7 linked regions of the Danio rerio genome follow. The protein of the gene in region 6 purifies or fractionates together with the protein of the main gene of each other region. This does not show direct contact. Links are inferred from orthologs where the notes say so. Each region holds a gene or a part of one and is shown on either strand. Other genes may lie near its edges.

The links.
Region 1: the proteins of ilk (region 6) and raf1b purify together in Homo sapiens (affinity purification with mass spectrometry; 3 studies listed by BioGRID and IntAct, with this or other methods). This does not show direct contact. The link is inferred for Danio rerio from reciprocal best matches to the Homo sapiens genes ILK and RAF1.
Region 2: the proteins of ilk (region 6) and cct4 purify together in Homo sapiens (affinity purification with mass spectrometry; 4 studies listed by BioGRID and IntAct, with this or other methods). This does not show direct contact. The link is inferred for Danio rerio from reciprocal best matches to the Homo sapiens genes ILK and CCT4.
Region 3: the proteins of ilk (region 6) and cad purify together in Homo sapiens (affinity purification with mass spectrometry; 4 studies listed by BioGRID and IntAct, with this or other methods). This does not show direct contact. The link is inferred for Danio rerio from reciprocal best matches to the Homo sapiens genes ILK and CAD.
Region 4: the proteins of ilk (region 6) and rsu1 purify together in Homo sapiens (affinity purification with mass spectrometry; 9 studies listed by BioGRID and IntAct, counting the BioPlex papers as one, with this or other methods). This does not show direct contact. The link is inferred for Danio rerio from reciprocal best matches to the Homo sapiens genes ILK and RSU1.
Region 5: the proteins of ilk (region 6) and gcn1 purify together in Homo sapiens (affinity purification with mass spectrometry; 3 studies listed by BioGRID and IntAct, with this or other methods). This does not show direct contact. The link is inferred for Danio rerio from reciprocal best matches to the Homo sapiens genes ILK and GCN1.
Region 7: the proteins of ilk (region 6) and dpm1 purify together in Homo sapiens (affinity purification with mass spectrometry; 3 studies listed by BioGRID and IntAct, with this or other methods). This does not show direct contact. The link is inferred for Danio rerio from reciprocal best matches to the Homo sapiens genes ILK and DPM1.

Annotation. Positions count from the first base shown.
Region 1 is NC_133186.1:558,494-561,993, reverse strand, and holds part of raf1b (RAF proto-oncogene serine/threonine-protein kinase), read right to left. Parts: intron 3,272-3,500; coding exon 3,159-3,271; intron 1,281-3,158; coding exon 1,178-1,280; intron 1,105-1,177; coding exon 947-1,104; intron 1-946. UniProt on the Homo sapiens protein: Serine/threonine-protein kinase that acts as a regulatory link between the membrane-associated Ras GTPases and the MAPK/ERK cascade, and this critical regulatory link functions as a switch determining cell fate decisions including proliferation, differentiation, apoptosis, survival and oncogenic transformation.
Region 2 is NC_133176.1:57,146,744-57,150,286, forward strand, and holds the end of cct4 (T-complex protein 1 subunit delta), read right to left. Parts: intron 3,234-3,543; coding exon 2,999-3,233; exon of another isoform or gene 2,607-2,998; intron 2,062-2,606; exon of another isoform or gene 1,963-2,061; coding exon 1,849-1,962; intron 630-1,848; coding exon 615-629; 3' UTR 501-614; downstream 1-500. UniProt on the Homo sapiens protein: Component of the chaperonin-containing T-complex (TRiC), a molecular chaperone complex that assists the folding of actin, tubulin and other proteins upon ATP hydrolysis.
Region 3 is NC_133195.1:42,094,526-42,098,025, forward strand, and holds part of cad (multifunctional protein CAD), read right to left. Parts: intron 1,911-3,500; coding exon 1,786-1,910; intron 1,687-1,785; coding exon 1,553-1,686; intron 1,080-1,552; coding exon 967-1,079; intron 846-966; coding exon 595-845; intron 1-594. UniProt on the Homo sapiens protein: Multifunctional protein that encodes the first 3 enzymatic activities of the de novo pyrimidine pathway: carbamoylphosphate synthetase (CPSase; EC 6.3.5.5), aspartate transcarbamylase (ATCase; EC 2.1.3.2) and dihydroorotase (DHOase; EC 3.5.2.3).
Region 4 is NC_133199.1:36,141,978-36,145,477, forward strand, and holds part of rsu1 (ras suppressor protein 1), read right to left. Parts: intron 703-3,500; coding exon 570-702; intron 1-569. UniProt on the Homo sapiens protein: Potentially plays a role in the Ras signal transduction pathway. Capable of suppressing v-Ras transformation in vitro.
Region 5 is NC_133183.1:4,931,287-4,934,786, forward strand, and holds part of gcn1 (stalled ribosome sensor GCN1), read left to right. Parts: intron 1-164; coding exon 165-273; intron 274-2,437; coding exon 2,438-2,501; intron 2,502-3,500. UniProt on the Homo sapiens protein: Ribosome collision sensor that plays a key role in the RNF14-RNF25 translation quality control pathway, a pathway that takes place when a ribosome has stalled during translation, and which promotes ubiquitination and degradation of translation factors on stalled ribosomes.
Region 6 is NC_133185.1:29,715,479-29,718,978, reverse strand, and holds part of ilk (integrin-linked protein kinase), read left to right. Parts: intron 1-810; coding exon 811-907; intron 908-1,065; coding exon 1,066-1,149; intron 1,150-2,496; coding exon 2,497-2,582; intron 2,583-2,701; coding exon 2,702-2,811; intron 2,812-3,500. UniProt on the Homo sapiens protein: Scaffold protein which mediates protein-protein interactions during a range of cellular events including focal adhesion assembly, cell adhesion and cell migration.
Region 7 is NC_133198.1:23,420,724-23,422,725, reverse strand, and holds the end of dpm1 (dolichol-phosphate mannosyltransferase subunit 1), read right to left. Parts: coding exon 1,945-2,002; intron 1,862-1,944; coding exon 1,747-1,861; intron 828-1,746; coding exon 723-827; 3' UTR 501-722; downstream 1-500. UniProt on the Homo sapiens protein: Transfers mannose from GDP-mannose to dolichol monophosphate to form dolichol phosphate mannose (Dol-P-Man) which is the mannosyl donor in pathways leading to N-glycosylation, glycosyl phosphatidylinositol membrane anchoring, and O-mannosylation of proteins; catalytic subunit of the dolichol-phosphate mannose (DPM) synthase complex.

The sequences.
Region 1 (3,500 bases), on a different chromosome or scaffold from region 6:
CAGATAAATTAGGAAATAATTCATAATTTTATGTTGATTGGGATGATTTAGTATGACCATTAATCAGTAAAAATGAAACACAGACAGTGCTTTATGGTTTTCTGCAGAGTCTAATTGCATTCAGGTACAGAAATCTATTAATTCAATGTAAATAAAAAACACTGCATAGTTGTATAAAAACGTACATACAATTAATCTTTGATAAAACTACAAATGCTATAATTTCATATGCACCTACTTGAATTCGTGAAGCTACAGGCCATAAAAATGAGGCAAACAAGCAATTTATTAAGGTTAAACTTCCCCAAAAGTGAAGTAAGTACTCCCTTCAGGGCTCCTCTGACAAATTCTATAAAACTTGGACCCCGATTTACACAGTTTTTGACTCTTTGGCCTCATTAGATTCTGACTGAGATGGTCAGGGGTAAACTTGTCTTGATGTTGGACTGTGCCATCTGCTTGTGTGAGTATTCTCCCTGAATTATATTCATGTTATTTTCTTCCCCCCTCCCCCTTTTTAAGTTTTGTTTTAGTTATTTTTATGACATTTATGGACCATATACTTTAATATAAAGTTTCACTGTTTATTTCATGTACATTTAAAAGAGTCTGTAGAGATTTCTCATTTCTCCCGGGAGGTTTGTGGGTGGGTGTGGGTATGTAACGTTGGATAGTTCTAGTTTGATCTTGGGCTTAACAAAAAAAAAAGGAAAAATGCAGACATTGTATTGTTGTCTGTTGTGTTTTTTCTATATTTTACCTGTCTGTGCAATAATGTATATGTTAAAAAAAAGTTTAAGCTTCCCAATGACTATACAGTGTGGTTCCTGGTCAACTATAATCCCTCAGATTTCAACAGGATGAATAAACTGACATTGCAGATGCTGCGATGTGACGATGTGGATTTGCACATCGTGGTGCCGATGCTGAACACATATATACTCACAGGAGTTGGCGAATGTTGCTCCAGTCCACACACATGGTTGGCACTTTGGTGCTGCAGTGCTCGTGAAACTTGTATCCGCACGTCTGACATCTGAAGCCGTGCAAAAGAAACTTCTGACAGATGTCACAAAAGGCCAACTTCAAAAATGTTTTGCGTACCTGAGAAGAGGACGGGCAAATGTTAGAGCGATGCCGAACACCGCATCCACTCACATGCGTTACAGAAACTCACAAAATTGTGCGTGGTCAATGGCACGTGATCTAAGACTTCAACCAGCAGCTCCTCTCCGACCAGTGAGGTAGAATCAGTGCTCCAGTCCATGCGCAGCTTCTTACTGCACAGAAAACAAAGCATGAACGGACTCTGAGATGCAGGTTTATAATCAGGTCCTGGTAATAACACAGAACACTTGTGTGCATAAGTATTCACCCCCTTCAAGTCAAGCGTTATTGTCATTCAGCTACATGTGTGCATATAAGGTGGAACAATATGCCAAGTCTAAACTAGTGCAGAGCCTAAACTAAACACAATTAATCTCATCTGAAATAAAAGTTTGTTTTGACCATGTAAGTGTGTGTGCTGTGCATATGTATTGTGTGTATATAAAGACACACATGCATGCATACATTTGAGAAAATGTTTATTTATATTTAGATATGCTATATAAATGTTTACCTTACAAATTATACATGAATTTTAATATTTATGTAACAACATAGTTTTGTATAGTTTGGTTTCCATGCATTATAAATATACATCATACACACACATTATATATATCATGTCAAAACAAACTTCAATTTTGGATGCAATTAATCTTTGCGCAGCATTAGTCTAAACATAAACAATCATGAATATAAACACAACACTGGACGTAAGAGCAGTTTTTAAAACCTACACATGTTAACATACTAGACATACTGATCTGACCACACACACATTCTATAAATGTACAACATATGTACTATATTCAATCAGTATTTAGCACATGCACAACTCATTCAGAATATCCCTGCAGTAGGGCTGTCGCGGTTATTAAATAACCTAAATGTGGTTATTTAATATAAATGTGGTTTTATCGGATGACTGTGACTGCTGCAATTCCACAGCAAATATAGAAATGCAAATGCAATTTGCATATTAATTTTAAATCATTATAATTACACATATGAACATATTGCTTCGAATGTACTAAATATTAACTTTATTTACTGTATATTTTCATATTTGGCCATAAATACATATATACATATATACATATACATACATATATATATATATATATATATATATATATATATATATATATATATATATATATATATATATATATATATATATATATATATATATATATATATATATGGTCAAATATGAAAATATATTTAGGAATAATCTGTCAATAAATAAATAAATCTGTAAAAGTTTAATTTAAAAAAATTATATATATATATATATATATATATATATATATATATATATATATATATATATATATATATATATATTTTTTTTTTTTAACAAATATTATTCCCACCCCAGCACAAATTAAAATTATATTTATTTAACAAAGAAAACCTAAATAAATAAAAATTACTAATGATAATAATAATAATAATAAATAAATAAAAATAATTATGTAATTAAAATGAATAAATTCTAAAAAAAAAAAATTTAAATAAAAATAAATAAAATAAAATAGAAAAATAAAACATCCGTACAGAATACGTATACTTATACAGAATATATATATATATATATATATATATATATATATATATATATATATATATATATATATATATATATATATATATATATATATTCACAGTATGTCTGATAACATTTTCTCTTCTAGAGAAAGTCTGATTGTTTTATTTTGGCTAGAATAAAAGCAGTTTTTAATTTTTTAAACACCATTTAGGGATAATTTTATTAGCCCCTTTAGGCTAATTTATTTTTGATATATGATCTAGAGAAACTGAGTACTATACTGGAAAATGAGCATCCATCAGCCAATAAAGATCTGTATTAATATAATGTTCAATTGTATTTATTTTATTATTTATTACAGGGGGGTTAATAAATGTTTACGTCCTTCATGTTGATGGCTTCATCCAAACAGTAAATGCATGATAGACACTGCTGTTAATGATATCACACATGTGGGTCGCTCTCATTGTATTATTTTATTTCATATTTCAGAACTTACGCAGAATGTTCCCGCTGAAGCTTGAAAACAGCACAGCATTCAGGCTGAAGACCTCGAACTTTCAGGGCTTTGATGAGACAGTTGCGCAGCGTCATTCCTGCTCGCACGTTCACCTATTTCAACACAATTTCAACATATTCAATAGAAATGAGCATGCATCCTGAGCTACACAGATCAACACATGGATATGAAAGCAACATTGCAGAGGGCATTGTGTTTTATTTAGCCATATTTTTGGTGGATCTGCAATCATTTGCTTGAATTAGTATTTTATTAATGTTTATTTAATTATTACTTGTATCAGTAATCAAACATTTTCCCTGAAGTTCTGACTGAAGTGAA
Region 2 (3,543 bases), on a different chromosome or scaffold from region 6:
TGAGCCATGTCCTAAAATACCAGCATTCAATTTTGTTGCTACAAGATTTCCTGTAATTAATAAAAATTATACACTCATTAAAATTACATTTACCAAAATGTATAAACCCAACCATTAATATTATGCGTATCCTCATACCAAAATAAGCTTCTTTTTTAATTCAAAAGTTCAGAAAAATGTACTTACATAAATTTAAAAGCAGACCAAATACTGGTTAAAATCACGTTACAGGGAAATACCAAGTTTAGCAAATTAGGTTAAAACACTCTAGCGCATTTCTAAAATAAAAACAAAGGTTGTTTATTAGAAGAGTGAATGTCCAGCTCTTGATTTCAGACTTTCTCAGGCCCTGGAGCAATGCTCTATTCTGATCAGATAAGGTGATTAGCTAATAAGATTAAGCTGACATGCAGAGATGCACCGACCACAGTAAACCCTCAATAAACCTAACAGAAACAAAAACATGTGCACAAATAACACCAAAGACAAGACATACAGTGTCAAAAAAAACATGTTTAATTAAATTACTCCAGGTAACATCTACAGACAGCGACAGATCAGTTGGTCTTATCGGAGTGCCGGCGCGGGGTTTGGATCTTCCTTCTTCAAACACTTTATCGTGTGTTCACCTGCAGAACAAATGACATGGCATTAATGGCTGGATAATTACAGACAACATCAGTGCTAATTTAAGGGTCATTTAAGATGAGGCACAACAGCCATTTTTTATACAATGATCAGCTTAAGGATTTCTCAATGCGTAGAGTAAATAAAACATCCAAAATACACTTGTTTCAAATGTATTACACTGTAATAAATGGAGGGTCTACGCAATTTATTCATGTTGTCCCAACACAAATTCATTAAGTTAAGTTGATTGAACATAAAACAACCAAGTTGTCCCAAAAAAATAAAAATAAAAATAATTGTTTCAGCTCAATTTAATTTAGTTTAAACAAACACCAAAATTCATTCATTTTAAGTGTATATTACATTGTATATATACACATACATCAAAAATGCTTCTGCAATACTTTATAAAATGGCATGCCAATAAAGCAAACTGAACTTGAACTATGAAAACACGTCAATAGACCATTTTGAGAGATGTAAACAAAAACAATGGTCCCGACATATTTCCTGTTTTACATGTTTAATTTCTATATATATTTCAAGAACACAAAAAGAGCCACATATTAATAATTAATGTTATGATACCCGTTTTAACATTAAGATATGATTGAACTGCCTCTTGTTAGTTATGAAATAGTTTAATAACAAGCAGAAAATGTTAATGGGCCAAGACATGACTACATTGAAAAGGTCTATATGTTACCGTATGTTAGGGATGCATGATATTGGAAAAAACTGGCATTGTGATATATTGTTTTTCTGCGGTATGAACATTATTTCACAAGATGACTATTTGGAAGAATTGCTCATTTTAAATTGACTAGAATTATTTGTAGTTGAGTGAATCTGAAAAAAATATAAAATGTGCAAAATAAAATAAAGCAACAGAACCAAAATAAAAATGAAATTAACAACGCTTTATGGTTTTCAGAGGGACTTTAACAGTACTAAACTATAAAAATTCAATAATCAAATGTAAAATAATACTGCATAGTCTTTACTTTAGTCTATTAAATAATTAAACATAATTAATCTTTGTTAAAGCACCAAACTTATTGTGCCCAAATGGTTTAAATTCACTTGATGTCGTACAGTCACAGTCCTTAACAACACATCTTTCGTATTATTGGAGTTAAACTTTGAATATCCTGAACTGTGTTTCTGGCTATATCCCAATTAGACAGATTTGCACATCAGATGTAAAGCGTGACTCACGAGATCGTCGATCTTGAGGATGCTGCGGACCGTTTCAGTGGCGAGGGTCAGAGCGCTGATGGAGACCAGCAGAGGCTGAACCACCAGCTCCTCCAAGATGTTGGAAATGCCCCCCTAAGAGGAAAAACACATCAGACACTCACATTTCTGTAGAAACACAGTACACTTCCTGATAAACTGGGGGCCTTTTTTCTGATATAATAAGAGTTGCGCCTCAAGGCTGATTTATACTTCTGCGTCAAACGCACGCATATGCTACAGCGCAGCTTACGCGTCAACGCATAGCCCTACGCTGTGGCCGTCGCTGACGTGCTCCTCTCAAAAAGTTTAACTACACGTCGCAACGATGCATAGCGGAAGCTCTATGATTGGTCGGCTTGGTATCGCTGTCGAGTCTAGGCGGGACCGAGAGCTTGATGGAGCAATTGTTTACAAGTGTGGAGTCCCGTGAAGGAGCTCCGGATGGAAAGTTTTGTTTTGTGTTTACCTCATAGTTAAAGTTGTTGCACGTTCGCCGGTTTCTGCCTCAAAATGAGCGAGTTTGAGCCACTTGTACATCCCGGAAGCATTCAGAAAGTACAAAACACCAGCGAAGAAACTCATCACAGAGACACATTTACACCTTACTGCCAACTAGCGTTTTGGAAGTGTTAATGCAGACCAACCGAGACAGCGCGCAGAAGTATAAATGCACAGCTACGCGCACTGCATGCGCTGTTGGTTCCGCCGGTCACTTGACGCAGAAGTATAAACCAGGCTTCAGAAGACGAAACACCATTGGAGGTTTGAGATGCTCAAGACAGTGCTGGGGGTAATAATAATACTGAACCACTGTAATGACAGACTTTGGCTGAGGGATTTTAGAAAGACCTTAACAACATTTCTGATGTTTTACAATGTGCTCGAAATGCTGTTTTGTCCTTTAAAGCCATGGTGTCTATTTTAACACATCAGTACTCTCTGATGAACGTGATTGGCTGGCGTTTGCACTAGTATTGATAAAAGCAATCTGATTGGATGATGCCAATGGGTATGACTAAAAAGTGGTCATAAACATTCTCAATTCAAATAAGTAGCAGCTAAGACCTGGAAACTGTATATGTCGTGACTTAACAAGCGAATATACAGATCTACTGGTTTAAAGCATCACCTTGCGGACGTTGATCCCGGCTGTCGTTTCACCCTGAGCATGTCTGTTGCGCAGCTCGGTGACAGTGGAGATGGGATTGAGTCCTGCGTTCTCTGCCAACGTGGAGGGAATGACCTCAAGGGCATCAGCGTACGCTCGCACACAGTATGCCTCCATGCCGCCCAGACTGCGGGCGTATTCGGCCAACCGCAGCGCCAGCTCGATCTCTGGTGCTCCACCGCCAGCAATCAGAGCTCTGCAGATAAACAGCAGTTAGCAAGAAAATCAGATACAGAAGAATAATGATACATCTGATTTATTAGGAAGAGTGATACTAGCAAAAGTTGGAAAAAGGGTAAAAATTAAGAGACTTCTCTGGATTTACAATTTATATTTGAGAAAAACAGAATAGTTTTATTCCATAAACTACTGATGACATTTTTCCAAATATAAAATAAGATTTTATTAAACAGTATTATCTTAATAAATAAATGAAAAAATAAAATTATATATATATATATATATATTTTTTTTTTTTTTTATTATTATTTTTATTTACAATTTGG
Region 3 (3,500 bases), on a different chromosome or scaffold from region 6:
TGCTCTGCTGAATCTGAAACCTTGCAGCTACAGTTGAAGTCAGAATTATTAGCCCTTTTGAATTTTTTTTCTTTTTTAAACATTTCCCAAATGATGTTTAACAAAGCAAGGAAATTTTTACAGTATGTCTCATAATATTTTTTCTTCTGGACAAAGTCTTATTTGCTTTATTATGGCTAGAATAAAAGCAGTGTTTAATTTATTAAACACAATTTTAAGGCCAAAATTATTAGCCCATTTAAGTTTTTTTTTTATAGTCAACTGAACAAATCATCATTAAACAATAACTTGCCTAATTACCCTATCCTGCCTAGTTAACCTAATTAACCTAGTAAAGCCTTTAAATTTCACTTTAAGCTGTATAGAAGTGTTTTGAAAAATATCTTGTAACATATTATTTACGAGTAAAATTTAAAAGAAACAAAATGTACACAATTTAGTTGAAATGCTTTACTATGTAACTTTTTCCAATATTTTGCATGAATTTAAATTTATTATCCCCCCCCCCACTGCACCACCACACACACACACACACACACGCACACACACCCACACACCCGCACACACACACACGTAATAATAGTACATTCCTACCTTTGCACAGCTTGAGCGATCTGTTTGTCAGAGAAGCCCAGTTGCTTGGCTTTCCTCATGATTTCTGGAGGCATTGCACTCTCATCCTGCTTATACGTCTCCAGAAGCTTCTTGTGGTCTGCGATGTTCTTCATCTTATGCAGAAACCAGTGGTCTATCTTGGTCAGCTCATAGAGCCGCTCTACTGTATATCCAGCATGCAGAGCAGCTGCCAGAACAAAGATGCGCTTGTCTGTGGGAGTCTGCAACTCCTGAGAAACAAGACAAAATATTCTATAGTTAAGTTTTATGCATTTGTTTACAAGCCTAATGCACAAAAAACATGCATCTCCTTTGGAAGTAAGATTAAAGTTTTGAAACTTAAGTACCCACCTCTTCCGACTCTGGCTTGATGGTGTGATCGAATCCAACGCAGTTCTCATCTACCATTCTCAAAGCTTTCTGGAAGGCCTCTTCAAAGCTGCGGCCGATGGCCATCACTTCTCCTGAGATGAAAGAGAGTGCTGGATGAGTTCTCTATATACTGGATACTTGTGTTCAGCACAGATAGCACCTTCTCAATGGCAAAGGGAACAGGCTAAAATTTTACAATCTTAAAATTCATAATCTTGTTTTAATACATTGATACTTTTCCTTTGCTAGTGAAACATTTAGAGACTCAACATAATACATATTTATCCTGCTATTTTTTTCTATTAAATTCATCATTTCTATAGTGCTTTTACAATGCTGATTGTGTCAAAGCAGCTTAACATGGAAGTTTTAGTAAATTGAAACTGCTTTAGTCCAGTTTTGCCAGTTGAAGTTCAGTTTAGTGCATTGTAAGGTTCACTGCTGAAAAGCCAAAACCCTGAATCCAATGATATGCAGTTCTAAACCAAAAATAGCCAATGACGAGGAAAAAGCTTCACCAATTGATAAGAGTGTAGGACCAAAAACACACACAAAAAAAACTCACCAACACTCTTCATGGAGCTGCCTATTTTAGTGCTGACTCTGAGGAACTTGCTTAAATCCCAGCGAGGAACCTTCACCACGCAGTAATCCAGACTGGGCTCAAAGTTGGCGGTTGTGGAATTAGTCACTGAATTTCTGGAAAATAATCACTTATAAGCAACTTGCAACAAGATAACAATACACAAATGTGCAGTTAGAGTCAATAAAACAGCAAATGTTAATAAAAGAACTCACTTGAGCACGGGCAGAGGGATTCCCAAGCTGAGTTTAGCAGCCACGTAGGCCAGCGGGTAACCTGTGGCCTTACTGGCCAATGCAGAGCTTCGAGAGAGACGGGCATTGACTTCAATGATGTAGTACTGTTAAAAAATAAAACATTATTTCTTAAAACATTAACTTAAAAAATTATAGGACAGACCGGTCATTGATTTTTTTTGAGGTGTTAGTATAACTAGTGTAAGAAATATGCAAGTTTTTGTGCAATATGCACAAATATAAAAAAGCTTGGGTGCTCCAAAACAATGCCATAATTTACTTTAGAAAACTGTAGCTGTTTCTGAAATGGCACACTATACACATTACACTTATGCACTATGTACTTATGCAGTTACACACTCTACAGCATAGTATATGCATGTAATGTCTTCTCAAATGGAACACTAAAGTTTTTTACTAAGCAGAAATTGAAACAGTTTTACAGATGACGTTTGACAGTCAAACTACCAAATAATACCTGCTATGAGCATAACCACATTCACCATTGGGAGGCGCTACAATTACTCTCATAGAAGAATTTTGCTTTTACAATCTAAAATAAAGTAATCCAATAACAGTGCTTGAAAGCTCCACCTCTTCCGTTACCAAGTGTCCAACATTTCACACTTGATTTGAACGGTTGAATAAGTGCATCGTCTGGGTATTTAGGTACACTTAATCTTAGAGTTCAGTGTAAACGCACTACTTGCACTATACTACAAAATGGCAAAGAATAGTGCATAAGTATGCGATTTGGGATGCACCTTTAGTGCGCCCGTCCACTGTTGAGTTTTCACGAAGCTGAAAATGTCAGCGACCTCAGTTGAGCACTTCAATTATTGCATTTTGCTTTTCCAATTATTGGAGATTTTAAAGGTCCCATGGATTTAAAATAAAGTTTAGTTGTTAGAATCAGTATTATTAGTTTTTAGGACATCTACAAGCTAGTGTGCACCAAAACAGTGACACATTCACATTTGAAGATAAAAACTGATACAAATATGTAAAACTTGTTTGTCACTTCCGCCAAAATCTCATGTCACCTCATACTTCAGTTTCTCATCAAATCTGGATCAATCGAATGCTATCTAGTTTCTGACATGCCCCACCCCCTTCAAGATGCTTCACATTTGATGGAGTTGAGCTCAACCTCTCTTAGTGGCACAGAGGTGATAAGAGGTAAAAATGCTATTAGCTGCTATTTAAAAGGGGAGAAGCTACACTGTGTACCATCCCTCTTCATGTACTGGTTGAGATTGCGTTAAACTGAATGAAAATGCACATTTCAAATCATTTCACGAGACCTTTAAAAAACTGAAAGTTCTCAGCACTTGCCATAAACCTGAGAAAATAAACACTTCGGTGGACATGCACCTTTAAGCATTCAAAACTTTGTTTCTCCCTTCTGCCAAAAAAATCAACATTTTATAACATCAAAAAGCACTTCAACTTCTAATCAGAACTACTGACAAAAGAAATGCTCACTATAATCTGAAATATCGCATCCCCTGTAAGACACAACTAAAATCAGTCACTTATTCTTGCATAACTGAGTGTTCGATTAAACATAAGAAAATAATAAGATGGTTACCAACACTGTATATATGCTGTATGTTAAAGTGGAGAAATGGTTAGGCAGGCTCAGCACTGCTATTATAGATTGTAGCTGTTATTAATCAGATGTGCTTTAGCTC
Region 4 (3,500 bases), on a different chromosome or scaffold from region 6:
AACTAAAAACATCTGGGACATTGAATCACTTGTTTAAATGACTCATTCAAAAACATTCATTCATGAGATTCATGAGATGAGAGAAAGAAATTATAGGACTATTTAAAAAATAATATTAAACTAAATCCAACAATAGGTGCCAGTAAATTGCAGCTTTAATGAGTGAGTCATTTGAGTCATTCTTTTAAAATATGCATTCCAAAAAACTGCGACAATGAATTACTTTTTTAAATGATTCATTCAAAAATGCAGATTCATTCACCAACAAAACTAAATTGTACATAAGAACCTTAGAAACGTTCTGCTCTGGGTTTGTTTGGTGAAAAGGTGCAAAGTATCGATATTTTGTGTGATAATGACGAACATTTTTCGGTCAGTAATTTTTCACGGACAAATGGAAAACTTGACAGTGTCTAGGTCACCAGTACTAGAGATTAAACCTTCAACCTTTATATGAATAAGTACAATCCCTAAACACTGAGCTACTGTATTGTCTGTGTAACTCCGATTCACAGCACATGCTCCTGGACGTTTAAACTCAGCGAAGAGGAATGGAGAGATTCACTTACTACTTGTAGGTCTCGGAGCGGATGTACTCAAAGACATGAGAAATGCCCAGCTGGAACTGGTCTGCGATGGGAGTCACCCAGGAGTTATTCTCAGCCTTAAACACTTGCTTGGGTCCCGTCAGGTCCAAATTACCTACAGGCACAGAGTGAGAGAGAGAGAGAGAGAGAGAGATTTAAATAATCATTTTAATTTAAAAAAGTGTAAGTGGTAGGGGAGGTCAGATCAGACAAGAAGGTGAAGACATGAGCAATAAGACGATTCAAAGAATTAAGTTAATATAAGTAGCATTGAAATGGCATGAGAGAAAATTTGGAAAAGAAAGAGCAGACAAAAGAAAAAGAAAAGAAACCAGAGAAGCAACCTGATAAGGGTTAATAAGATGAGATAAACAAAACAAGATGGCAATATGAGACATGAAGAGATTAAATTAGATGAAATTGCAAAAAAAAAAGAAAAAGATCCGAGATCAACCAAAGTATTGATGAGAGAACAAAGGTTGAGATGTAATGAAAAAAGAGAAAAAACCTAACAAAACAAGAAAGAAATAAAAAGTCCTAAACTAATAAACTAATTAACAAAGAATATGAGAAGATAACATTTAAGATTAAATGTACAACAAAATAAGGCATGAGATGAGAGAAAGTCATGAGATAAAGGCGATGATAGGTGAAGAGACAAAACAAGAAACGAGAAGAGACAAGTGGACAAAAGAGAAAATGAGACAAGATGGGATGAGGTGAGACATTAATAAACAAGAAGAGACAAAAGGAACTGAGACAAGGAGACAAAAAGAGAAATGAAGAGAACATATGAGATGAAAAACAAGAAGCCAAATAATAAACCAAGAAAAAATTTTGAAGAGTTATAAGTATACAAAATGAGATGACAAGATGAGAAAAGATGAGATGAGACAAAACGACAAAAAGACATGAAATCAAAATATGACAAAACAAGTAATTAAACGATGAGATGAAAAACAAGGACACAAATTGAGAAAAGAGGAGACAAGGATGAGAGACAAAGAAACAAAACAAAAACAAAGAAAAAAATGAGATGAGTCAAAAGGAGACAAAATGAGAAATTAGGAGCAAAGACGAGTGAATAGTTGAGAAATGAATAGACAAAATAAAATAAAACACAAAGAGACAAAACAAGAAATTAAAAAAATAGATGGAAAAACAAGAAGACAAAATGAGAAACATTGCCACAATGAGATGAGTCACAAGGAGACAAAATGAGAAATGAAGACACAAAATAAGGCAACCCACAAGTAGACAAAATAAGAATCAATGAACCAAAACAAGACCCCACAAGATGAAACAATGAACAAAACAAAAAAATGGTGACATAACAAGAAAAGACAAGGAGTCAAAATGAGAAAAGGCACGATGACGAAACAAGGAAGTCAGGACGTTACCATACAAGGTGCTAAAGTACAATATAAAAACACTCGCCTTGTATAGAGACGAGATGAGATGGAGAAAGAAAAGAAACAAGAGACAAAAAAAGAGACAAAAAAAAAGAACAGACAGAAAAGAATAAAGACAGGTAGAGCCCAAATGAGACAAGAGACTAGACAAATGGAGAAAATAGGAAAAGTCTAGTGATAGCCTAGTGGTTAGCGCGCCGACATATGGTGCAATAGCACGTCAGGTCGTCGCAAGTTCGAATCCCGACTCGGCGACATTTCCCTACCCCCCCTATCTCTCTCCCACTTCGCTTCCTGTCTCAATACTGTCCTATCTAATAAAGGCAAAAAGGCCAAAAATAAATAAAAAAAAAAAATTGACTGCAAATTTTTATTTAGTTTTAGTCGTAGTCTTTTGACTCATTTTAGTTTTAGTCTAGCTTTAGTCAACTAAATTTCATAAGATTTTAGTCGACTAAATCTACTCTAGATTTAGTTGACTAAAATATATTTGGGTTAATTTGAGTGTAATTGAATTAAATATTGTACACATTTATTTATATAAAATATTCAAACTTAAAATAAAATAAAAAAAAAACAGTTATTAAAATATTGAATAAAAATATTGAATAAAATATTGAATAAAATATTGAAAGCTTTTCCATTGAAGACCAAAAATTAGATATGCATTGTTTATTTGTATCATAAGCAATTTGTAGAATTATGTGTTGGCAAGAACAGTAGACTACTGCAAATGTAAGACTTTGCAATTGTTTTGCAATCTGTTTATTTTAACATGGTAAACTACACGGCTTTTTACCTAGTCTGCTGAACAGTTTCATGCAATTAAATCGTTACATGGGCTTAAAATAGTTTAAGTTCACTTTGCAATGTCAGTCTATAGCAAGCTTTACAGGTGTAGTATGTTTTTACAGTACATGGTGCTCAGATGTATAGCACTGAGTAAATAAGTAATGACATATGACTGGCAAATAATAATGTGCAATTTTGAAAAATGTGCATTTAATCCCATGGCTCTGTTAACTCACATAAAGTTAAGCTAGGAATTATAAAGCTAAAAATGTATGTCAAAATTAAAAGTGTGCTTCATTTCAAGGCAGTTTCTTTAGAATGCGACTCCCTGTTAAGCGGAGATTATAACACTACAGTATCATTACATCATTACAGTAAGAAAAAAATCCCATCCTGAATGAAGCAGTTTTTGTTTCGTGGTAGAGGTACACTGTAAATGGCTGTTGTCATGGCGAAAGCGGCAGACGCAGACAGCGCACATGATCCTAGCGGGAGTTGGATCAGGCCAGCTAGACTGCAGCCGCAGCTAAAATGAAACAACTCTTCACGAAAATGAATGCCATGATCATGTTACCGATTTAATAATGTTTAATGTACAACCTAATGGCATCTAAATGTCAGCGAGAGGCTACACCATTTCAGTTAAGCAAGCACACACTCGGGTAAATAAAAAAGATCGAGTTTACAGTAAAGTTCGGGATGATTCCCA
Region 5 (3,500 bases), on a different chromosome or scaffold from region 6:
AAATGTGCTGTGATTAAAAAACGTAAGTAAACATGCGTACAAATCTAAAAAGCTCCAATGTGGTATGAATATATGGGATTTATATGTCTTTGTTTGGTTGCTAGTCTCTCTGAAAGTGTATCGTGTTAGTGGTCATCTGATGTTGTGTGTGTGTGTCTTTGTAGGGACAGGTTTCAGACACACTGAAGAGATTCGCTGTGAAAGTCACGTCATCCAGTGTTAAAGAGCGCAAAGAAATTCTTGGAGAACTGAAGGAATGTGTGAAGGGAAAGGGTGAGTTTACCTGTTGCTGGTGTGTTGTGTCAGATAAAAAAAAGATGTATATTTGTTTGCATTAATTAGTTGTGAAAAACAGTCTTTTTTGATCACCAAAGCTTTATGTATTGGTTTAATAAATGTGGTTCAGGATTTATTTATTATCTATTTTGAATAAATAATATTTTATCTGGTAAGGCACAATGATTTACGTTTGACTAATATGAGGTGAAATGCATTATGTGGGTCAAAATGACAATTGACAAAGTGTATCCCGGCCAGTAGCAGCAGCAGAGAAAAGGTGTTCAGTGCTGCTCAGTGAGCGAAGGACTGCACTAAAGCCATTTACAGTGGATTCAATAATGTTCCCCCACAAAACACATAACCTAATCTTGATGAGTAAAGAATTTCAAATTATAACTAAATATTAATAAAATCATAATGTATGCAGAGTGTACAGGCTAATGCTGGCATTATTCTTTTATTATTAAGCTTCACCATCGCATTATTGTGAAGTGAAGTGGCAAAACAAATCCCACTGAGCCTTTATCTTAATTTCGTTATTGCCAAAAATCCGTCATCATTTATCATTTATTTTAATTCATTTGCTAAGAAATACTTATTTTTATTGGTGTGTTGGCCAATTTAAACGTTAAGTGTATGTACCCAGGCCTATTTAGAGTGTTGAGATGTTAAGATGTTACAGGGGGCTTATTTTATTTTGTTTTTTCCAACTTGGCCTGTAGCCTATGTTATGGATAAGTAATGTTAACGCATATAAACAACTCATTCATGAAAAAGACAAAAGAGCTGTGCATGTACACATTTGGATAATGTCGGGCTATAAACGGGTTCGGGCTTTTAAAAAGCTGTCAATCAAAATGTACCTGTCGGGTTCGGGCTCTATCGGGCCTACCTTTCATAGCCTGATTACAGCTCTAGTTCAGACGCCCCCTCACAGTCAGCTATAACAGTTTCATTTCACCACCACACACCCAAAAGGCAGGTTATCTGCGGGTTATCCATACTGTGACGAGGCACAATTTATTTTAATCTAACGAAAACATTAAAATGAGTAGCCTATTCCAAAGAAATTATATAATATTTGGGTCTTAAATTATATTTGTTGAGGTCTTAAAAATGTCTTAAAAACATTAAATTTTACTTTTAAAATGGTGCAAGAACCCCGAGTTGTTTCTTGTACATGTCCTACTGTAAATAGATCAACAAGTTTTAAATGATTAATGCACATTGCTAAGTGCTTCGTTTAGACAAATTTGAAGGTGATTCATTCAGTAATTAGATCAGATGCAGCTTTGCTAAATATTCTTTAATTAATTTCCCTTCGGCTTAGTCTCTAATTTAATAGTGGTCGCCACAGCTGAATGAACCGCCGGCTATTATATGTTTATTTTATATTATATGCCATTACATATGCTTTACATAGCGGACACTCTTCCAGCCGCAACCAAGTACTGGGAAACACTCATACACACTCACATTCACACTCATAGACTACGGCCAATTTAGTTCATCCAATTCCCCTATAGTGCATGTGTTTGGACTGTCAGGGAAACTAGAGCACCCAGAGGAAACCCACGCCAACACGGAGAGAAAATGCAAACTCCACACAAAAATGCCAACTGGTTCAACTAAGACTCAAACCAATGACTTTCTTGCTATGAGGCGACTAACTAAATATCATCCTGTCCTATTCCATAGCATATTATTCTATAGTAAACATCAACGGAAAGCTTATTTATTCTGCTTTCAGATGATGTCTAAATCTCAGTTTCACAAATTGAACTCTTGTTGCTGGCTTTTGTGGTCCAGGGTCCACAAATGCACAAATGCAACCGTGATTTCATCAGTACTATTTAATCTTTTTTTTTTATTTTTTTTTTTTACAGTTTCTAATATTTGTTTTCTGTTAGAATATACTTTAAAATATATAAATATATATATTATATTTGTGACAAAAAATCTATTATTTAATCATCATTACTCCAGTCTTCAGTCTCACATGATCTTTCAGAAATCATTTTAATATATCTGTTTGATGCTTAAGAAACATATTTAGACGACATTTTATTTGAGCTGTTCTTGAGAAACAAATCCAAATGTATTTGGTGAAATAAATAAGTATTTAATTTGAATTCTTTGTGTTGTATTGTTTGTTCAGAGCTTCCAGAGCCGGCCATCAAAGGACTGTGCAGACTCTTCTATCTCACGCTGCACAGATACAGGTGAGTGTGTGTGTTTCTTCTCATCAAAATTCACAACATTCATTTATAAAGCACATTTAAACACAATTTAAGTGGTTTCAAAGTGCTATACAACGGTTTCCACAGGTCATGGCTTTTTGAAAGGCGTATTTTAGACATTGAGTTAGGGAATTTGTGTAGTTTTTGTCCAGGTGATAGAATATCGGGGATTTGGGTTTATTGTGTTAATTTTAGCATCTATCTATCTGTCTATCTATCTGTCTGTCTGTCTGTCCGTCCGTCTAATATATGACCAGGGTTCATACAGTCTTGAAATATCTGGAAATGTCATGGAATTTTGAGGCATTTCTTGGCATTTTCCTGGCCTAGAAAGGTTTTGGAAAATCTGAAAAACCCACAAAGTTTTGGAAAAGTCATGAAAATTAGTTTAACAATTATCTGTATACTTAAATATGAGTTAGTTGTCTTTACTTCTTTTCTGTCCTAGGCCAAACTCATGCTCTCACATTATTAGTACTGCGTGAGCATTATCTAAATACATTTTACGTATATAAAAGGATGAATTTAAACTAAATAACAGGGTGTCCGCGGTCTTAAAGTCTTAAATTTCAAAAACTAAATTTTAGACCCTAAAAAGTCTTAAATTCACTGAAATATTATGTTATGTGTCTTAAATGATTTTTTTAAACCGGTCTTAATTTCCCTCTGCTCAAGTAAAGCTACACATTCAGGCCAACATCCCCTCCAATCACAAACAATCCATCTTAATAAAACCTTTTTTTAAATATTTAGATTTAAATTTAAGTTTTTTTATTGCAAAGAGATGCAATTTACAGTAGCTGTTAGAAATATTTCACAGTAATTCCTCCAATTCCCAGGGAAAAAAAAACAAAAACAATAACAACAGTTCCTTATGAAAAAAACAGAGCAATATATCCTTTTATGTTGTTTTCGATTAATTCAAAAACTCTTTACTAAAGAGGGAGTAGACATAATATTTATGAATAGGCGTGAGCTTAA
Region 6 (3,500 bases):
TTAAAAAAATCAATTATGCAAGGTTCTTATAATTATGATTTATTAATTCGTTTTTTATTTCAATTATTACTGTTTAGTTTTAGTTTGTTTCATTAATGTTTGTTTTTTGGTTCGTTTTAGTTTAGTTTGTATCTTTAAACACACTTTTTATTTAGTTTTTATATATTTAGTTTCAGTTTTAGTTTTAATCATTTTAGTTTAACAGAGTTTAAAAAAAAATTACCTCTTGGTATTAAATGAAAGATTTGTTTGAAAAGACACCGAACCGTAAACCTTAAATGCAGATAAAACGATAAATCTTGATTTTAGAGATAATATATGTAGTTAAACATGCCTAGTTTACATTTGTCAAGGATTAAAAATACATGGAAGATTTTTATAATTAAGAAGGTATATATAATCATGTGCTTGACTGATGCGTTCAACTATAAAAGCCCCATCTTGAGGTACTTCTATATATTACAGCAGCTCAGATTTTCTGCCACAGAATGACTGCTTATTAATTCTAAAGGACATAAATATTTTTGCTGAGTTTTTTTTTTTTCACTTGTTTTTTTATGTGAATTTTTTGTTTTTCCATTGTTAATTACTTTCAGTTAACAAAAAATATTTTTAGATATTATTATTTATTAGACTAAAATAACCTTGTAATAATGACTGTTTTGTAAAACAACATTTTCAGCTCCATTTCATTTTCAGAAGTCAAATCTTGACATATAGTTCATAAAGGTTAACATTAGCAGAATCATCAAAGAAATGCTTGAACATTGGTACTCATTGGTTGGTTGTACTGTTTGGTCACGTCTCCAGGATCTGGTCAGTAATGGAGCTCAGGTGAGCATCTGCAACAAGTATGGAGAAACTCCAATGGACAAGGCCAAACCACCGCTTGCAGCAAATCTAAAAGGTAAGCACTCTCTCTTTATTTAATAATGCAGTAATTTGACATCAGCGGTGCTTTTGTATGATGTTTTTATTTTAACCTTGTGAAGTCTCAGAGATCTGTTTCTGTTAACATATTTTCCATTGTCTCTTATATCTATCACTGTTATGTTTATGAATCAGACCTGGCAGAGAAACAAGGACAGAGCCTGTCAAAAGTCCCTTACAAGGACAATTTCTGGAAAGGAACAACTCGAACACGACCACGTAAGCAAAACCTCTGAGTTTCGTTTACATTTTTAATGCAGATGCAAGCAGTTTATTATCATCTACTGTATCATTCTGCTTTCAAAGGTAAGGATTCATTAGTCTAAACTTACATTGAGCAAACAAATATCATAACATCTAAGTTGATAACTCACAGTTTATATATATATATATATATATATATATATATATATATATATATATATATATATATATATATATGTGCGTGCGTGCGTGCGTGCGTGTGTTTGTGTGTGTGTGTGTGTGTGTGTGTGTGTATATATACACACACACACACACACACACATATTTTTTTTTGTGAAACAAAATTATTTTCAAATTTGTAACATCCCATTCAAGTTCAAAAATGATGGCAGTGTTTTAAAAGTGACCACAATATTTAATTTGTCAGGGCTAAATTACACTACTAATGCTTTATTTTATTAAATATTACTCTATTCGTATTAATAAAAAATAATAAAATGAAAAAAAATTAACCTTGTTGTAAAGACTTTTTTTATAAAACAACAAATGCAAATAATAATACTTATAAAAATGTATAGATATATGTATGGATGTCAATTTCCAATAATAATTTTTAAAAAATTATTTATATTTTATATATATACACATGTACACAATATATTACACAATAATTATAAAAACTTATTATTTAATTAAAAATAATTTTATATTGAACTTAATGCTAAATGAAATATTATTGTGTATTCGTAAATATCTACAGTTTGTTTACTGTAGTGTAAGTGTTTTTGAATTATTATTATTTTATTTATTTATTTTCTTGCACTAGTTTTGTTGAATGGCCACATATACAGTTAAAGACAAAAATAAATGCTTGCCCTCCTGTTAAATAAATTATCTTTCCCAATTGATGTTTAACAAGCAGGGTCTAAGATATATTTTTACAGTTTTAATGGCTATTTTCTAGTAACTTTGCTGACTGTACATAATATTTTACTTGTATTTACTGTATATATACTAGTGTTTCGCCAGATACTTAACTGTGTTAAATAGGTTAAGGCAAGTTAGTTTAATTAGGCAAGTTATTGTAAAACAGCACTTTATTCTGTAGCCTATCAAAAAATACTAATTATTTTGGGGCTTACAATATTTACCATAAAGTTTTTTATATTTGTGAATATTATTTTTTGAATTTCAGCCAAAAATGAAAAAAATAAAAGACTTTTTTCCCAAAAGAAAAAAACTAAAATGAAAAATAATGAAAAATTCACAGAATTAATAATTTAGTCTTCAGTTGTATATTGCCTTATCTTATTAACTAAGGTTTGTTGCTATGTTTTTTTAACATTATTTTTTTTCCTGCAGGTAATGGCACACTAAACAAGCAAGCTGGCATAGATTATAAGCAGCTTAACATGCTGAACAAGATCAACGAGAACCACTCCGGCGAGGTGAGCTCATTTACCAAACCAAAGCAAACTTTAATAAGTATCCTGGCCAAGTCTGAGAGTGCTGATGACGGAAACACTGATGCCTCTGCTTTCTCTCTTTCTCAATCGCTCTCTGGCAGCTGTGGAAGGGCCGCTGGCAGGGCACAGAGATTGTGGTCAAGATGCTGCATGTGCGGGAATGGACCACCAGAAAGAGCCGAGACTTTAATGAGGAGTACCCTAAACTAAGGTGAAGAACCAATAGTCCTGTGTGGTCACATTACACAAATTAAAAAGACAGTTTCCCTCAAAATGTGTAAAATAATGAATGACATACAGAACCACAGTTATTATATTATAATATTATTTTTATTATATTTAAATCAATATTTATATGAATAATATAAATCATTTTTAAATGATAATATTGTTTTAATTAATTTGTTATAAAGATAATAATAGTAATAAAGTATATTATAATATCTTTAAAAAATGTTAAAAAGGGCACATTTATCACATTTGGCTGCTAGTTATTGCGATAATGACAAATCATTGTCTGTTTTTGGGCTTTGCAGTTGTTTTAATGTACTTTTTTTTCTTCTCTAACTGTAATACATGAATATTTAGATTTGGAAAAAAATGAAGAGATCATTTGAAAATTCTCAGTTTTTATTAGTTATTTAAGTAAAAGTTAATATTTGTTTTATTGATAAAGATCTGATAATATTTATTCCAAATTTCACATATAAATATAGTAACTTTGTAATGTGTATTTTTGTAATAATAGTATTATTAATTATTACATGATATCAATAATAATGTTCACAGTTGTTTTTTTCTTCTGGTTAAATTTCTTTAAAATAATTTGTGAAATTTCTTTTAAAATAATTTTATTCATTTATAAGTCAAAAACCTTCATATTGTATATTCCTACTTTCA
Region 7 (2,002 bases), on a different chromosome or scaffold from region 6:
TCATTTGGGCACTCTAAACCCAAAGTGAATGGGCAATCCTGACTGTGAGGGAGGAGACAGATCGGAAATTGATGGCAGTGGATCATGGGATGTGGCATACTGTTTTCCTGTTTCATTGACTGATGAGTGACCTATTTTATAATTCAGCCTCATCAATTTGATTCATTTTAAATCCAAAGTATTGTCATAAATTATTTTATATCAATTGGTTAAAATACCTTTTTATAACCAAAATGATTTTGGAACAATATTTTTTTTATTTTAAGACATCTCTATTGCCATTCGTAAAGGTACAAAACAATACATGTGAATGCTCAAATGAATATTTAAAGGGTTTTCACAGAAATTCAGTTTGAGAAGCATTTTGAGAAGAACATTTCAGTCATTGAATGAATCCAGTTTGTAGGGATGAGTTCATTTCTTAATAGAACCACAATGATGCTTTTTATAGCCTAAAAACATAGTTCATATGAAATAAGTGTTAGTACTTCAAAAACTAGCTCTCAGTTTGGTCCTTTTATTACAATTCAGAACATTTGAATGTACATTTCTAAACATTGCCTAGTAATTAACAAAACTAAGTAGAAGGAACGTGGTAAATCCAAGCATAATGACCTCATTACTTGGTAATCAAGTAATTATTCTAGCTTCTCGCTCCACTGCAGTGATAATAAGCGCTGATCATACATCACAACACTAAATGCAACCAAATAGGTCAAAGGTCATGTAGTGGCAAAAAGAGTGAGCAGTCCTTTCAGGAAGGAGACGATTTCATTTCCACCTAATTTGGACTCTCCATAAACACGGTCCACAAATGAAATGGGAACCTGAATAACAGACAAAAAAAAAAAAAAAAAGCTACGTTAAGAAATCGATCAAATAAACCATTCTGCTACTATGAAACAGAATGAAAAACAAAAGTGTTTGTATTAAATATAGTACAGTGACTCATAATTTCCAGCTTACAAAATAAGAGGCTTTTACACTTTTTCACAGTTCCTAGAACCATAACATGGTTTCTGGAGTGTTCGCACTGTAGGAACTGGGAATGATTTAAGTTAAACAACACTGTTTTATTGGACTAAATTAGCTCCTGGATTAGATCAGGGTGTAATCCATCAAAATAGCAGCTACAGTGATGTAAACCCTGGCAGAGAATTTGAATACACATTCACATAATATGGGCAACACGGTGGTACAGTGGTTAGTGCTGCCACTTCACAGCAAGGTCGCTAGTTTCAGTCTCGGCTAAGTCAGTTGGCATTTCTGAGTGGAGTTTGCATGTTCTCCTCATGTTCGTGTGGGTTTCCCCCACAGTCCAAACACGTGCTGTAGGTGAATTGGGTAAGGTAATTTGTCTGTAGTGTATGCGTGTATGTCCTGATCCTTCAGATTGGGGGTTGAGCATTGAGCTAACAATTCATATCCTAAAAACTAGATGTTTCCAAACACCAATATGATGCGACCAAATATCAACTTTGATATAAAAGCCTTGACATAATCTGCATTATCATGAAACATCTTTGTTATTTTGATGTCACTGTCAGCATGGCTTACATCACCTTAGATTTCCTGCTGGCAGTGGGGAAATACGTTTTCGATGAACAGGGCCTAGCAGTTAGTTTCAGTAACTACCCAGAGCAAAATGCCACTATAGTCCAAGTATTACACAAATATATCTAAACCATTTTTTAAATAACTGGCAATAACTGCATTCATAGGAAATGTGGAAAGAGATGTGCTGACCTCTCCAATTGTATAGCCCAGTTGTCTGGCCCGGACAATCATCTCCATCTGGAACACATAGCCTTTTGACACACACTGCTCCACTAGTTTTTCCAGAACCTCTTTCTTATAGAGCCTAAAACAAAGAACACGTTATTTATAATGACAATACAGTTTATGAGAAGTAATAAGACTGATTTCTTTATAAACATGCCTCACCTAAAACTCCCAGTAAGATCAGACGCTCCTGGTCTGAGCAGAACTTGTGTTACAAAGT